Macaca mulatta: one gene and its partner. Each later gene encodes a partner of the first gene's protein in a complex. Links are inferred from orthologs where the notes say so. Each region holds a gene or a part of one and is shown on either strand. Other genes may lie near its edges.

Region 1 (4,884 bases):
ACATTTATGTAGGAGATCTGGATTTTTGAGCTCTTTCCCCTTCCACAGAGCACCTCAATTCAATTATTTATGCAAAATATAATTATAAAAAGCTTAAAACATGACTTACAAACAAATATATAACGGACATATATCAGAAATGTATTTAACTGGATAAAGAAAATGTGGTACATATATACCATGGAATACTACAAAATCACAAAAAAGAATGAGATGATGTCCTTTGCAGCAACCTGGATGCAGCTAGAGGCTATTATCCTGAGCAAACACAGGGATGGAAAACCAAATACTGCATGTTCTCACTTATAAGTGGTAGCTAAACTTCGAGTACATATGGACACAAAGAAGGGAACAACAGACAACGGGGCCTTGAGGGTGGAGGGTGGGAGGAGGGTGAATACCCCTATCGTGTACTAGGCATATTACCTGGGTGACTAAATAATCTGTACACCAAACCCCCATGACATGCAATTTACCTGTATAACAAACCTGCACATGTACCCCTGAACCTAAAATAAAAGTTTTGAAAAATTTATTTAACTTGTTACCGAGGAAACTAGCTATATGGTGAAGCCAATTCAAAGGAGAATTTGAGGAAGGGAGGTTTACAGCCAGTCAAGAAAGGCATGTTCAAATAAAGTTATCTTTAGAGATAAAACTGGTTAATATCATAAAGGGCAATGAATGAAAGAGTTACCTTTGGAGTTGTCTTCTCTGTATGACAATCATCATTTGTTTCTCTCCCAGGCAATAATCTACAAATTAATCTGTAACTTCAAAGTTCTTCCCTTAATCAATAGTAAATAGTAAGTCAAACAAAATATTTCCCTTGGAGAATGAAAGAAGCCTCAGTGGGCCCATTGGACAGTCCTCCATTATAACATGGAAAGGAAATGCAGTCACTGTTTTGCCTTATATCCAAATTCTGGATAATTTTTCTTTTCTTTTCTTTATTTGTTTTGACACAGGGTCTCTGTCATCTAGTCTGGAGTGCAGTGGCACAATCACAGCTCACTGCAGCTTCAACCTCCCGAGCTTAAGCAAACCTCCACCTCAAGCCTCCAGGGTAACTGGGACCATAGGCATGCACCCTGGCTAATTTTTTTTGTAGAGATAGGGTTTCACCACGTTGCCCAGGCTAGTGTCAAACTCCTGGGCTCTGCCCACCGTGGCTTCCCAAAGTGCTGGGATTAGAGGCCTGAGCCACGTGCCAGCCTTGGATCATTTTTCTTCCAAAGCACCTTCTCCCTCTTATCCTTGTGTTAGCAATAGTCATAATGAGGCCCCTTCCCCACTCTTCCTTCTTCTTGACTCTGCCAAGTATCCAGGAAGGGGCTGTGTGTATCTTGGCAGGTATGTGCCCTGGAACTTTCATGAGCCCTGGCCAGGACAGTACCAGTTTTCTGAGGACCATGATGTGGAATATTTTCTTCGGCTGGCTCACGAGCTGGGACTGCTGGTTATCCTGAGGCCCGGACCCTACATCTGTGCGGAGTGGGAAATGGTGAGTGTGGCTAGACTGGGTTCTGCCTGGTGTGTGAGTTGGCAGGCAGCAGCCCTGGGGCAAAGGGCATTAAGGCAGACCTGCATTCCAGAGAGCATGGGGCCTGGGACTGTACCCAACACAGGTGTCTTTTACCTTGGCAAGGTACCCAGGCAGAGAGAAGCAGGCCGGGGTCAGGGCATGGGCTCTCCTCTTGGTGGTCACTCATATAACTCAGGTTGCTCGTCTGTAAGAAGCAGTTAATGGTGTCTTCTCTGTCTACCTCGCAGGTAGTTGTGAAACTAAATTGAACAATCTTTATGGAAAAGGCTTTGGTCCTCAAAACATTGCATTCATGCAGAGTGATCTTAATTGTACTACATTCCAATGTCTAATTTCCCTGCAAGTTATAAACCAAAAAGCCCAGCTCAAATACCTCTTGTCCCTTGAAGCTTTTATTCTTTTCCATAACTGCTAATAGTAATTTCTGTCTCCTCTGAGCTCCCTTCACAGAATGGACATTATAATGGCTTATTTTTCCTGACCTAGGGAGGATTACCTGCTTGGCTGCTAGAGAAAGAGGCTATTCTTCTCCGCTCTTCCGACCCAGGTAAGTTGTTACAGATGTCTTGAGAAGATTTATAAAAGCTTCAGGCCGTTGTGCACATGTACCCTAGAACTTAAATTATAATAATAATAAAATTAAATTAAAAAAAAAAGAAAAACAGCTTCTGGCTAGGTGCGGTGGCTCACACCTGTAATCCTAGCACTTTGGGAGGCTGAGGCGGGTGGATTACCTGAGGTCAGGAGTTCGAGACCAGCCTAGCCAATATGGCAAAACCTCGCCTCTACTAAAAATACAGAAAATTAGCTGGGCGTGGTCGTGGGCGCCTGGAATCCCAGCTACTCAGGAGGCTGAGGCAGGAGGATTGCTAGAACCCCAGAGGCAGATGTTGCAGTGAGCCGAGATCGTGCTAATGCACTATAGCCTGGATGACAGAGCGAGACTACGTCTCAAAACAAACAAACAAACAAAAAAAGCTTCAACAATTTTTATCGAAAGGGGGAGGTATTTTGAAGTTTGGGGTACCTCTGCACAAATACTTTTGAAAGTTTACTGAAAGTCTGAGTGTTTATCACCGTCCAGTGCATAGCACCAAACTAAACCTCTAGGAAATTAGGCTCTGAACTACTTAACCAGATCTTACTGATAAACTGGTAATTCTTTGAATTGGCATTGAGCCCTGTTTGCGGTTGACCAGCTGACTTCAATGCTTTCTCTTCCTATTTACTTAGCATATTCCACAACCAATGATAGCACCTAGCTAATCAAAATGACAAGCCAGGCATGGTGGCTCACACCTGTAATCCCAGGACTTTGGGAGGCCAAGGAGGAGGGATCGCTTGAGCCCAGGAGTTTGAGACGAGCCTAGGTTACATAGTGAGACCCCATCTCTAAGAAAATTTTAAAATTAGCCAGGTGTGCTGGCATGTGCCTGTAGTCCGGCAGGCTGAGGTGGGAGGATTGCCTGAGCCTGGGAGGTTGAGGCTGCAGTGAGCCATGATTGCACCACTGCACTCTAGCCTGGGCAACAGAGAGGGACTTTGTCTCAAAGAAAGAAATAAGGCCGGGCACAGTGGCTCAAACCTGTAATCCCAACATTTTGAGAGGCCGAGGCAGGCAGATCACCTGAGGTCGGGAGTTCGAGACCAGCCTGACCAACGTGAAGAAACCCTGTCTCTACTAAAAATACAAAAATTAGCCAGGTGTGGTGGTGCATGCCTATAATCCCAGCTACTTGAGAGGCTGAGGCAGGAGAATTGCTTGAACCTGGGAGGCGGAGGTTGCAGTGATCCCAGATTGCGCCATTGCACTCCAGCCTGGGCAACAAGAATGAAACTCTGTCTCAAAAAAAAAAAAAGAAATAAAAACAAAATGACAGTTTCTGGGATGGTGTCATTGGATTGCTTGGTAGCTGCAATGCCTTCTATTTTTGTCTACTTCTACAGAGCAATGTGTAAATGATGGTTTTTTTCTTTGTCTTGCTCCAGGACCTTCATGTTTTGCACACTTAGCATATTATTGGTGTTTTCATATGTAGTAACTCCTTTAATCCTTATGCCAACTTTATGTGGCATGTACTTTTATTATTCCTATTTGACAATATAACTATATAATTTGTTAGAACTTCATTTTATACAGAAAAAAATCTTCCTGTGACTGAGAAGAGGACACACTGTTCAGTGACTCTTTTCTTCATTCAGCAAACGTTGCTTGGATATGTTCTATGCTCCAGGCTTTGTGTCCGTCCTATGGCAAGGATGGTGTCTTAGTCCATTTTCTGTTGCTTGTAACAGAATACCTGAAGCTGAGTAATTTATAAAGAAAAGCATTTATTTCCTACAGTTATGGAGGCCGAGAAGTTCAAAGTGGAAGGGCTGTATCTGGTGAGGGCCTTCTTGCTGGTGGGGACTCTGCAGAGTCCTGAGGGGGCACAGGGCATCACATGGTGAGGGGACTGAGTGTCCTAGCTCAGATCTCTCTGCCTCTTCTTATAAAGCCACGAGTCCCGTTCCCATGATGACCCATGAATCCACTAACCTATGAATCTATTAATCCACGAGTGGATCGATCTGCTTATGAGGGCTGAGCCCTCAAGACCCAACGCCTCTTAAAGGCCCCACCTCTCAGTGCTCCCGCACTGGGGATTCTGTTTCAGCGTGAGTTTCGGAGGGGACAAACATTCCAGCCGTAGCAGACAGATACAGGCACGCTGGTCCTTGTCCCCTGAGGAGCTCAGCTGAGGAGACAACTACATGCAGGACGACTTTTATGAGACTTTTATTTCAGAAGGTACTTGTTGAGTCCCGTATATCCTGATCTCTGCTGCCAGCCCTGGTGTAATAAAGCTGCACTGGCTGCATTGGGGTCTCTTTGTACTAAAAGGTGTGTGATGGTGTTAAACCAGGGGTGTTCAATCTTTTGGCTTCCCTGGTCTACACTGGAAGAAGAATTGTCTTGGGCCACACATAAAATACACTAACACTAATGATAGCTGATGAGCTAAAAGAAAAAAAAAAGCCTGCAAGCCACATGCAGTGAATTTCTGAGTGCAGAAATTCTGGCCTCCCAAAGTGCTGGGGTTACAGGCTTGAGCCACCGTGCCCAGCCGAAAAACTCAGAATGTTTTTAAAAAGTTTACAAATTTGTGTTGGGCCACATTCAAAGCCATCCTGGGCTGCATGTGGCTTGCAGGCTGTGGGTTGGACAAGCTTGTGTTAAACTTTTCTTGTTTTCCAGATTACCTGGCAGCTGTGGACAAGTGGTTGGGAGTCCTTCTGCCCAAGATGAAGCCTCTCCTCTATCAGAATGGAGGGCCAATTATAACAGTGCAGGTAAC
Region 2 (3,855 bases), on another chromosome or scaffold:
TGGGATAGGGCAATTGGGCAATCTCTAGGGTCACATGATCTCGAGTCTGTCCTCCAGGCACATGATATGACAGGCCCAGCCCAGGTTTATGAGCAGCAGGTGGGTTGCAGAAAGAACACAGTGCTGAAAGGCCAAAGAATAGAGATCAGATTTTTCTTTTTTTTCTTTTTTTTTTTTTTGAGACAGAGTCTCACTTTGTCATCCAGGCTAGAGTGCAGTGGCGCGATCTTAGCTCACTGTAACCTCCACCTCCCAGGTTCAAGCAATTCTTGTGCCTCAGCATCCCAAGCAGCTGGGACTACAGGCACGTACCACCACACCTGCTTAATTTTTTTGTATTTTTAGTACAGATGGCATTTTGCTGTTGGCCAGGCTAGACGCGAACTCCTGGCCTCAAATGATCTGCCCGCCTTGGCTTCCCAAAGTGCTGGGATTACAGGCGTGAGCCACGGCGCCCAGCCAGAGATCAGATTTTAAAGGAACTAAGGAGGCCTGTCTGTATGACCCTGGGGCACCTCTTTGGGAGCTAGCTTAGGTGACGTGCAGACCATACCCTGTGATACCTTTCCTAGTCTCCTAGGGTCAGGGAGGTTGGTGGGAGGTGGGGGTATGCTCGCCTCCTCTGCCCTCCTCTTCCCACCAGAGGCTGATGCACTTTTCACTCTCATCTCCTACAGGCTTTGGTCTTCTCTCCAGACCCACTGCTGCTCTCAAAACAAGTGTAACTTCTATGACAACAAAGACCCGGAATGCGTGACCAATGTGAGGTTCTGCCGTCACTCTGCATCAGCCCTCCCATCCCTAATCCCAAGAATGGGACCACATTCCCTCCTTGGGGACTCCTTGTTCTCCATCCCTCATTGCCTTCTTGCACCTTTAAGCAATAGTGTTCTCTGGGACATGTGTCTAAGTGTGTATTCCCACCACCACCTCCTATGGCGGCAAATCCCATAACCTGTGTGAGGGAGAAAGGACTTCTTCACATTTATCAAACACCTGCAGTGTGGCGGGCACTGTGCTGAACTGTGTCTATGTAGATTACTTAAGCTTCAAGATTCCTCCTCAAATGAGATCGTACTACCCACATTTTCCAGATAAGGAAACCTGAGGGCCATGAATTTTGAAATCACTGTCTGAAGTCAGTGTTGGGAGGCAGTGATGCTAGGATTTGGACCTAGGGCTGGGAAGATTCCTGCCACTGAGCCTCAGTTTCCCTACCTGTGAAAAAAAAGTGGGTGAAGAGGTGAAATTCAAGAGCAATAAATCTTGGGACAACTTGGTGGGGTTGTGGAGAGGCTAGGGATCTGTAAAGCATGGTGGCTCGGTGTATCATTGCAGCTTCAGGAAGTGGCCCGCATCGTGGGCAACTCTGGCCTCAACATCTACAACCTCTATGCCCCTTGTGCTGGAGGGGTGCCCAGCCATTTTAGGTAGGTGCTGCTGGGTGCCCCTGGGGCCAACCCCAGCCCCATCTGGAGGCTCCACCCATCCCCCCACCTCACATGCAGGTATGAGAAGGACACTGTTGTGGTCCAGGATTTGGGCAACATCTTCACTCGCCTGCCACTCAAGCGGACGTGGCATCAGGTGTGCAAGGGCGTGGGCTTCCTCCTGGTGAGGTGGGGACGGGGGCAGGGGCAGGGAAGCAGAGGCCCTGACCCTCTGTGTGTGCCCTCCAGGCATTGCTGCGCTCAGGGGACAAAGTGCGCATGGACCCCCCCTGCACCAACACGACAGCTGCTTCCACCTACCTCAACAACCCGTACGTGCGGAAGGCCCTCCACATCCCGGAACAGCTGCCGCAATGGGACATGTGCAAGTGAGGCTCTGTGGCCACCTGTGACTGGGGGTGGTGGGTTGCTGGGGCTTGTGGGCACCAGCAGGTTCCTAGGGATCTTCTGTGTAGGGTTTCTTGATGAGATGAGCTGTACAGGATGTTTAACATCCATCCCTGACCCCTCAGTGGATTGACAGCCAATTCTTTTTTCTTTTTTAAATGTTAAATGTTTTTGTTTGAGACAAGGTCTCACTCACTCTGTCACCTAGGCTGGAGTGCAGTGGCGTGATCACAGCTCACTGCAGCCTCGAACTCGTGGGCTCAAGCAATCCTCCCACCTCCCCCGTAGCTGGGACTACAGACGCACACCACCACCCCCGGCTTATGTTTGTATTTTTTTGTAGAGATGGTGTTTTACCATATTGCCCAGGCTGGTTTCGACTCTGGGGCTCAAGTGATCCACCCACCTCAGCCTCCCAAAGTACTGGCATTACAGGCTTGAGCCACCCCGCCCAGCCCCAATTCATTACGTAGCCACATTGGTTGTTGTTTCACAGTTCACTACAGCCTCAACCTCCTAGCTCAAGCGATTCTCCGACCTTAGTCTCCTGAGTAGCTGGGTCTACAGGCACATGTCACCATTCTGGGCTGTTTTTAAAAAATTTTTTGTAGAGACAGGGTCTCACTATGTCGTCCAGGTTGGTCTTGAACTCTTGGTCTCAAGCAATCCTCCCTCCTTGGCCTCCCAAAGTGCTGAGATTACCCACCCAGCCACCACATTGGTTAATAACTATTACTTCTGACCTGGCGCAGTGGCTCATGCCTGTTATCCCAGCACTCTGGGAGGCTGAGGTGGGCGGATCACCTGAGGTTAGGAGTTCGAGACCAGCCTGGCCAACATGGTAAAACCCCATCTCTACTAAAAATACACAATTAGTCAGGTGTGGTGGTGGGTGCCTGTAATCCTAGCTATTCAGGGGGCTGAAGGAGGAGAATCACTTGAACCCGGGAGGTGGAGGTCGCAGTGAGCCAAGATCATGCTACTGCACTCCAGCCTGGGCAACAAGAGTGAAACTCCATCTCAAACAACAACAACAAACTATTACTTCCATGTCCAATCTCCTGTGAGCCCCCCACCACCGCAAGTAAAAGGGTGACACTGGGCCCATCTGGGGCTGCTCAGGTCCATTTTGATTGGTCAGTGCTCACACTCTACCTTGTTATATGTTGTGACTCTCACACCTGCTGGCCCCTAGACACTAAATGCCAGATGCATCCCAGTCCCTGTAACAACCAAAACGTGTCCCTGTAGGTGTTTTTTGTTTTGTTTTGTTTTGTTTTGTTTTTTGAGATGGAGTAACTTACTCTGTTGCCCAGGCTGGAGTGCAGTGGTGCAATCTTGCTCACTGCAACCTCTGCCTCCCGCCTCCCTGCCTTAGCCTTCTGAGTAGCTGGGATTACAGGCATGCACCACCATGCCTGGCTAATTTTTGTATTTTTTTTAGTAGAGATGGGTTTTCACCATGTTGGTCAGGCTGGTCTCGAACTCCTGGCCTCGTGATCCACTCACCTCGGTCTCCCAAAGTGCTGGGATTACAGGTGTGAGCCACCGCACCTGGCATCCCTGTACATTTCTAAATGGGGATGAGTTGAGGCTCTCTGAATCCCAGCCCATCATCCAGGTCAGTCCTAGAGAGGTGGCCCCCCAAAAAGAGGAGTGGAACCCAGCTGTCTGCTTTCTGGGTTGGAGCTTGGAGATAGGAGATAAGGTCTGATCTGTTGACTACTTTTCGCCCCTACCTGGTCTTCCTGGGGCCTGCGCGTATGTTCCCGGCAGCTTTCTGGTAAACTTACAGTACCGCCGTCTCTACCGAAGCATGAACTCCCAGTATCTGAAGCTGCTTAGTTCACAGGTGAGTGGGGACAGCACAGCTGGATCCACCAGCAGCCTTAGGACCCCAGAGTAGCACAGCAAGCTGGGGACCCTTTAGACTTCCTGTCAGGACAAGGGAAGCTGAAACTCCAAAAGGTGAAGCCCAGGGTACTGTGACTGGTGGGGTCAGAATTTGAACCTGGGT

The links. The genes of interacting proteins can lie anywhere in the genome.
Region 2: the proteins of GLB1 (region 1) and CTSA are in contact, whole or in part, in a cryo-EM structure (PDB 7KDV), measured with the Mus musculus proteins. The link is inferred for Macaca mulatta from reciprocal best matches to the Homo sapiens genes GLB1 and CTSA. Residues at the interface, in NP_033882.1 of Mus musculus: Tyr198, Asp199, Arg202, His206, Leu229, Thr233, Leu234, Gln235, Asp236, Leu237, Lys258, Phe259, Glu260; in NP_001033581.1 of Mus musculus: Glu29, Asp31, Ala37, Lys38, Gln39, Pro40, Ser41, Phe42, Arg43, Tyr107.

What each region holds. Positions count from the first base shown.
Region 1 is NC_133407.1:15,448,352-15,453,235, forward strand, and holds part of GLB1 (beta-galactosidase), read left to right. Parts: intron 1-1,353; coding exon 1,354-1,504; intron 1,505-2,032; coding exon 2,033-2,093; intron 2,094-4,784; coding exon 4,785-4,879; intron 4,880-4,884.
Region 2 is NC_133415.1:98,687,459-98,691,313, forward strand, and holds part of CTSA (lysosomal protective protein precursor), read left to right. Parts: intron 1-677; coding exon 678-762; intron 763-1,338; coding exon 1,339-1,430; intron 1,431-1,508; coding exon 1,509-1,587; intron 1,588-1,628; exon of another isoform or gene 1,629-1,632; intron 1,633-1,679; coding exon 1,680-1,819; intron 1,820-3,614; coding exon 3,615-3,690; intron 3,691-3,855. UniProt on the Homo sapiens protein: Protective protein appears to be essential for both the activity of beta-galactosidase and neuraminidase, it associates with these enzymes and exerts a protective function necessary for their stability and activity.